Linked DNA regions of Cricetulus griseus. The protein of the gene in region 1 purifies or fractionates together with the protein of each later gene. This does not show direct contact. Links are inferred from orthologs where the notes say so. Each region holds a gene or a part of one and is shown on either strand. Other genes may lie near its edges.

Region 1 (4,297 bases):
TGGAGATCTGTGGCACCTCATGGGGATACTAGTGCAGAAAAGCAACATATTAAAGTGACCCACTCGAGGGACTCTCCCCTTCTTCCCTTCACATTCATGCAGAGGCCTCACCTGTACTGGGACCTGAAGCACCAGAGTAAAACAGACAAACTGCGAATCTTGGACCTCTGCGGTGGCCGGGTGCAGAGTGATAAAAATCTCCCAGGGTGAAGATCTGCAGGTGGATGAAGTGAAGACGCAGGGTGTGACTGGGCAGGGGCTTGAAAGCTCGGGAGGAGTGGGGTGAGACAGTAAAGCAGGTAGAGGGATGCTCACTGGACTTGTTCTTTTCAGGGGGAGAATTAAGGGAATAGTGTTTATGACAAACATCACCTCCGAGTCAAGGCTCACAGTACCCTAAGCCCAGATTCTGTGCAGAATCATCTCACTACGAAGACTCCTGCCCACCCCCAATTGAATACGCACCTGCCATTTCCTTTCATCACCTGTAGTTCATCCAGATAGATAGACTCTAATACTTCAACTTCAGAGGGAAGGACCCTGGAGAGTAAGGGGGAGACTGAGTCACTAATACAGTTTTCCCTGCTGAAGCCTGCCAAGGCTGATGAAGACTCACTTAAAAAACAACAACAACAACAAAAACCTACCTCAATACATTATTTGGTATTTGGTAAATTATTTGGTAAAATAGGGAAATATTTCTTTAAATTGTCAATTGGCCAGGTAGAAAGAATGGGAATTAGAATTTTAGAGTTCACCTCTGCCAACCTGAGAAAACAGATTCCCAGAGAGATGAAACAACTGACCAAGGCTTAACACAGGAGGAGGAATAGGACCAGTCAGAGCCAGGCCCTGACTTCCTGCTCAAGTTTCTACAGCTGATTATCCTTTGGTGGCTCCTCCCTGACTATCTATCTATCTATCTATCTATCTATCTATCTATCTATCTATCTATCTATCTAAACTCATTACTAACTCATTACTAACAAGGTTACCAATACTACTCCTGCCTGCCTATACTACTGTTCAGCACAGTTCCCTGTACCCTGGGTGCTGCCAATAACCTTGCCAACACTAGTCAGTCTAAGCATCCTCAAAGGATATGCCAAGATGAACAGGTTTAGGTAATCTAAAAGCTATACTGCATTAGGAGAGCTATAGGCCTTGTAGCTGATAGTAGGCAGAAACTACTTACCAGCTATATGGTCAGGTCACTTATTTTTGGAAGCCTGAGTTACACTGTCTACCACTTAGAGATAATACAACATATTCACTAGGGCTACTGTGAGACTTAAAAATTGTTTATATACAGTGCCCAAGTGTATGAGACATAGTACCTAGTCTAAGTGATCTCACCCCACCCTCAAAAGAAAAAAGAGAAGGGCATAATCTAAGTACTGTGAATACACACATGACGCTGGATTTCTAGTTAACCCAAACATCATGTCGAGTACAGGGTTTGTGGTCCTGATATAAATCAGAAGGCACACATTTAAACATACAAACAACAATTGTAATGACACTGAAGATGAGTGATTGAGTCCACAGCCCTACCCAGGTGATATATAGAAGGAGCACACCCAGTAGGAACTTTATCAGTGGTGGTTATTATGACTATTTTTTAGCATTCTTAAGCCTTACACAGAAACCTTAAAATATAAAGCTTATTATTTCACAAATAAAAACGACATTCTGGATGACACAGACTACTGCAATCACGACTACGCTCTCATGACTCAGGTGTCCCTTCATAATCTTAAGCATTTTTCCTAATAGTAAAGAGCATTAGTCTACATAGCTTTAGAAAGGAAACTACTGGCTGGCCTCCCTGAACCAAAGCAACACTGAGGTACAGCCTCAGTTACGACATCTTCAGTATTTTGCACACGTTAGGTGACCTGGGTTGTGGACGTAAGATACAGACTGGGAGAGTGATAAGGTCTTAAGTCACTGAAGGGGGTGGGAGAGGGTACTAAGATTAGAAGGCCTTAACTTATAGAGATATCCTTTGGGTTATCTAGTCTCTTGAGGTCTTACACTTAAGCAATTAATGAAAAGCAGGCCTTTATGTATATTACAAATCCCAGTGATCCTCCCAACTACTCTATGAGGTAATGCCACGCCCACTATTTTTTTTTTTTTTTTTTACAGCTGACACGGGCTCTCAGGAGCTAGCTAGTCTGGTCAGCATCATATCCAGTTAATTAAATATGAAGTGAGATCATCTTTATCTTCAAAACCCAAAGTCCTTAAAGGCTTTTGGTCTCTTCTTAAGAATGCCCGAGAGAGTAGGAGGGCTTATGTGGGGAGTTAGGCTTTTCTGACAATAGTTATAAGTGCTGTCGGGGGAAATGAGAGGAACGCATAGGCAGAAATGGACTGGGCCAAAGGGTAGGATCCTAGGGGCACGAGGGACACGAGGAGGAGGAGGACGTCCGTTCCGAGAGGCGAGAGGGTGATGAGCAGCCATCCTACAGGCCCCAGAAAGTCACATCAGGGAGAAGTGGGAGGGATAGGGCCGTAGCAGGAGGCAATTAGGTCGATAAGGCGTGGGCCCAACTGGCCAGGCCGGCGCAGACCCAGTCAGTCCCTTCTCAGGTCAGCGTCCCTCCACCCTCGTCCGCCTAGGAAAGGATGCCAGGGTTTCTGTCACCGCTCGCCCCATGATCCACCCCTCATGCCCGCAGTTCGGACGATTTGAAGCTGTTGCTAGTTCCCAGCACCAGATCCAGACAGCCAGCCAAAACCTATGACCCAAAGTTACCAGTCCTCTTCCCCGGCAGCTGCCGACGCAGACGCCGCCATGTCTTCTCCGGCTCTTAGCCGGAACCGGAAATACCTTTGGGGAAGTTAGAGACTGAAAACTAGGGCGGGGCGGGGTAAAGAAAGCTGGCGCTGTTTCTAGGCAACTGAAGACTCTAGGTCCTTTGTGGGGCCTGCTAGCCAAGCGACAGAAGTGCCCTACAAAGTGCCAATGGGCCGTTTGTGTCTGTTACACATCTCTGAGAGCTTTGTCCTTTAAACTTCTGACCGGTTCCAGGGAATAAAACTCGTAAGAGTGGGAAACTAACGAGAACAGCAACGCAGGCAGCTGGGGGGGACCCGGTTAGAGGGCCGGACCGCCAGCCCTCGGCCTGGGAAGCCTGGAGCATCTAGGTTGGGGGGAAAGTTGGGGGGACTCGGCTCGCGCCAGGAGTCAAGAGCGGCGGTGCTGGGGCGAGCCGAAGGTGTTATTAACTTGGAAGCTATAGGAGGAGCATGTGAGCGTCGCTGGTGGAGAGGGGAAAAGGGACGCGGTGTGCTGTGAACACCTAGCCTGAATGGGTGACTCCAGACGTTCTGTTTCCAAGACCTGATCATCTTTCCATCCTGATCCTGTTTTTGAGGCCTGGTTTATTGTGAAAAGGAGAAAAGGCTTAGCTGATAATGTCTATTTTTCTCCCATGTTCCAAGCCAGGCTTCCCAGATGTGTGGAACTGTTCCTGCATCTATAGCTCGTTGCCGCCGTCTTCGTTGTTGCCGTCTTCTTTCTACCTTCTGAGAGACCCTGAAACCCTTGCCATGGAAAAGTACCACGTTTTGGAGATGATTGGAGAAGGCTCTTTTGGCAGAGTGTATAAGGGCCGAAAAAAATACAGTGCTCAGGTAGTGAACAAAGATAACTTTTGAGTGGGATTTGGTGCCCCTACACCAGCAGAAACTTGGACAGAAGAGTTGCATGGTGTGTATTTCTAGGCTCTGACTCCAGCATACTTCCTATGATGTGAGGACCCTGAAATTTGATTACTTGGAGTCAGATTCCAGCCTTAGAACTAGGGACAAACTACCCAACCATTCCATGCTTCAGTTTCCCAAAACTGTACAATGGGGGATGATTGATGGGGTCTGAGGATTAAAGGTGTTTCACAATCACTCATAGTATAATGCCTGTCACCTACTAAAGACAAAAAATGTCAGTGTTCTTTGTTTTGCCTAAGAATAGATAAACCTGTGAAATCTGTTCCTCCATCTTCACATTTCCTTCTCTTTTCCCTAAATCTCACCTCGAGTCCTTTGCTTAGGTCACAAAACCTCTCCCAGAATCCATCAAAGGGCTCTATTTGGCAGTAACCGTTTCCCCCTGGTGATGGGTTGACAAAGCCAGAGTAAATCCATTACACCCTGGGGAAAGTCAAGGAGGAGGAGGTTAGCATGTGTTAGAATGCAACTAAGAGTTGGCTAAGCCATATAAAATCTTGAATTGTGGAACTCTAAGATTAAGTGTGGAATATTTGCACTGTGAGTGTGTGTGTGTGTG
Region 2 (3,814 bases), on another chromosome or scaffold:
TCATCCTGGTTTGATTTTTGTGGTTGTTGAAATAGGATCTCTTCACTAAACCTGGAGCTCACTGACTGGAAAAGACTTGATGGCCAGTGAGTTACAGAGATCCACCTGTGTCCAACACACACACACACACACACACACACACACACACACACACACACACACACTCCACTCTCCCACCCCCTACTCACAGCACTGTGGTTACAGATATGTGCCATAATGCCCAGTTTTTATATGGATGATGTTAATCCAGACTCAGCAGCAAGCACTTTGCCCACTGAGCCATCTCCCCACTCCCAGACCTAGTCAAGAGATTCTCAGTGTCTATTCTGTGTTACTGAATAGAAAAGTATATTCATGATCAAATAACCATAAATCAAATTATACTTTTATAATGTCCTGCTCATGTTTTTCTAACAAGATAGAAATATATCAATGCACTACAAGTACAGATTTTATAATATGTCATGACTCTGAATTGGCTTTTAAGAGTTTTTCACAATTAAAAACACATTTTAAAAATTATATTAAGGGGGGGAACCTGTAAACTCTATAACCTTCATCCCGGAAAAATGACTAAATACAAGGGAAAATATGAGTTTAAGGTGATAACTTGAAAGCAAATCCAGAGCTGCCAGCAGCTGGTTACCTTTTGGCACTGGTTGACAGTTTGGCAGCTGTCTTGCTGGATAGCTTCCCCTCCTTTTTCTTGGGCTGAACTTGCTCTCGCTCAGGTTCTTGCTGAACACTCTCCCGTTGATCTCCATCGGAACTTCCTCCACTAGTGCTTGGACTGTCGTCAACTCTCTGTGCCTCAGTGGACATTTTAGATCCTGGATTAAAGATGAAACATCATTTAGTCTGCTGTGGGAGGGACTACAACAAGGTACATCAAGAATGGAGAGAAAATGAGACTACAAAACAAAAGTAAAATTAGGTATAAAAATGGGAGTTGCCTAATTACAAAACAAATAACTCTGGGGGTTGCCAAAGGTTTTCTTCTACGAATTTATGTAAAATGTAGACACAAATATTGGTAGCACTTTTATTCACAAGACAAAAAGTGGAAACAATTCAAATGTTCTCCACCTAGTGGGTAACACGTGGTTCATCCACATGACAATATACCTAAGCCACAAAAAGGAATGAAGTCCGGTATCTTCATGCTTCAGCAGGAAGACCCTGAATCTAACTGAGAGAAGCCAGTACAGCCACAAGGACCACAGACTGCACAAGCTCATTTGTAAGAAATATCTAGACAGTAAAATCCATGGGAACATAGAGACAGAGAAAAGGGAAGTGACTTTTACTGAGCAGAAACTTTCCTGTGAGTGATAATGCTCTTAAGTGGAGGTCAGAGCAGAAAAGCCTCAGCGTGGCTATGCTTTGTTTCTGTAGTTCTGAGGACAGTAACCAGTGTCCCATTGTGTAAAGCAAGTGCTCTACTCCTGAGCTACTGACAATCCCCAGGCTAAGCTGCACATTTTAAGATGGTGGAGGTATAGTTTGGGCAGAGTGCAAGTTCAGCAGAGTTCAAGCTCCAGTATATACAAAAAATGAAGGAGGCTAACTTTATAAGGTAAATTACATCTCAAAAGAACTGGCATAAGACAAACCAGAAGAGACTTGAGAGTTGGCTCAGCAGTTAAGAACACTGGCTGCTCTTGCACAGAACCTGGGCTCCATTCCCAGCTCCCTCAAGGTGGCTCACAATGGGCTGTAACTCCAGCTCCAAGGGATGACACCCTCTCTGACCTCGCTGGACACCAGACACATATGTGGTGCACAGACATACATGCAAATAAAACAATCATACACAGAAAATAAAAATAAATAAATCTTTTAAAATGAGAGAGAAAGAAGGATTGAGAGCCTAATTTTTTCAGGCTTTGGGCTAAGCACTCTGGGCTCAGTTATGAGAAGTCTGGACAGGTAAACAGACCTGCAAAGTGTCCTGGCAAGTCATCACAAAAAGGCCCAGGGCTGAGAAACAGGGGCACTGCCACGCTCACATCCAATCGATACATCCTCAGAGCTGAGCCAAGGTTAAAATCCTCTAAGCTGGGAAATTGTTTTAAGTAACCTTTGTGATAACGGAACAGAGGCCACGTGATTCCAAACAAGAACTGAGGCTTAGGAGAGTATGGGCACTGACCCAGCTCCACTAAGCAACCATGTTTCACAAGAGATAGAGACTGTACTGAGACACTGATGGATTCATTTTTTTCCCCAGTCTGGAGGAAATAGCCCTGGAGGTTGGAAATTCACTTTGCTCTGGGTTCATGCTCCTGGAGCAGCTCCGATTACCAACTCAATTTCCTCAATACCTTGATACCTAGGTAGCCGTTATAACCTAGATAGCAGACACAAAAATGCACTGAGTGAAGAGGATATCCCTTCTCCAATCTCATTCCATCATAATCAGCCCCAGTTTGATCCTTACTATCACATCCTGTCTGACCCAGCAAAGTGACAGACTCAGAACTGAACTGACAAAACCCATATCCAGATTCTACAGGGCTTCAAGCCACCAGTAACCATTCTGAGTATCATGTAGCTAAGGCTCAGATATACGTCTCTGAAAAAAAACAAGACTGCCTGTGACTATTGTCATCACCATCACCACTACCATCATCATCAAAACACACACACACACACACACACACACACACAGAGAGAGAGAGAGAGAGAGAGAGAGAGAGAGGAGAGAGAGAGAGAGAGAAGAGAAGAGAGGAGGGAGAGAGAGAGGGAGAGAGAGAGAGAGAGAGAGAGAGAGAGAGAGAGAGAGAGAGAGAGAGAGAGAGAGAGAGAGATTTATCTAAATTCCTCTTGAAAAAGACTCTTTTCGGTTACTCTTAAATTAAGACTTTGAAATAAAACTGTTCCTGATATGGTCAAAAGTATGCTTCGGTGCACACAAAAACAAAAGCCTCACTTAAAACACAATGCATTACTATCATTACCTAGTCCAAAGGTATGACCCAATAACTAATCAACATTCATCATCCTCAGTTCAACGTAGAGTTTGCTCAAAGACATGGTGGCTTCTTAACACAGGCCTTTAGCAGACTGAAAGTTTTATAGGACAAACTTTTTTTTATAAGACAATAAACACAGCAAAGGACTGGAAGAGTCAGGAAGCACAGAGATGAAGCATCAAAAGACACCACATATAGCATCACCACCCCCAGCCCTAATAGTTCCTTTGTCCAAACAGCTCTCAAACACTCACAGGAAACCAGACTGCTCCCCTACCTTCTGTAAATGGAGACCATCATTCTCCGTAGCTATGACACATTTTATGAGCAATAAAGTCACTTAATAGAATACTGAAATTTTATATCAGTATGTTTCACACCTAGCTCTACAAGTCTGAGTATATTTCTTGGGTTTTCTTCCATTTTTATTTGACTTTAAGCTTATTATTATTGGGTTTAATATTTGTATTCTTTTTCAGCTTGCTTCTTTGAGTTCAAATCTACAAAAAGTTAAAAAAAACTTGTAAGTATGTACACTATAGATGCTAGATAGAGCATATATACAGGGAAAGAAAAAGAAGCACTCTTAGGGTTAGATGTTCTAGGAGCAAAATGCTGCTGGAAAAAAAATGTAAAGAGATGTGAAAGAGTGAAAAATTGTTTTATGTATCCTAAACCTCAGGCAATCTATCACACCACATGGCAAACACAAGAGCCACAGAAAAATAGTTACCTTACACTGAAGCCACTGCTATGACTGCTATGTCAAGTCATGGCTATGTACTGAGTTAGTCATAAAACCACACACTCGGTTCAGTATTAAGTACATTTACATACAC

What was found.
Region 2: the proteins of Rnf25 (region 1) and Ube2e2 purify together in Homo sapiens (affinity purification with mass spectrometry; 3 studies listed by BioGRID and IntAct, counting the BioPlex papers as one, with this or other methods). This does not show direct contact. The link is inferred for Cricetulus griseus from reciprocal best matches to the Homo sapiens genes RNF25 and UBE2E2.

Annotation. Positions count from the first base shown.
Region 1 is NC_048595.1:427,841,235-427,845,531, forward strand, and holds the start of Rnf25 (E3 ubiquitin-protein ligase RNF25), read right to left. Parts: upstream 2,869-4,297; 5' UTR 2,806-2,868; coding exon 2,765-2,805; intron 541-2,764; coding exon 466-540; intron 326-465; coding exon 112-325; intron 29-111; coding exon 1-28. Other genes in the region: Stk36 (serine/threonine-protein kinase 36), read left to right, coding at 3,562-3,645. UniProt on the Homo sapiens protein: E3 ubiquitin-protein ligase that plays a key role in the RNF14-RNF25 translation quality control pathway, a pathway that takes place when a ribosome has stalled during translation, and which promotes ubiquitination and degradation of translation factors on stalled ribosomes.
Region 2 is NW_023276807.1:175,955,778-175,959,591, forward strand, and holds part of Ube2e2 (ubiquitin-conjugating enzyme E2 E2), read right to left. Parts: intron 831-3,814; coding exon 647-830; intron 1-646.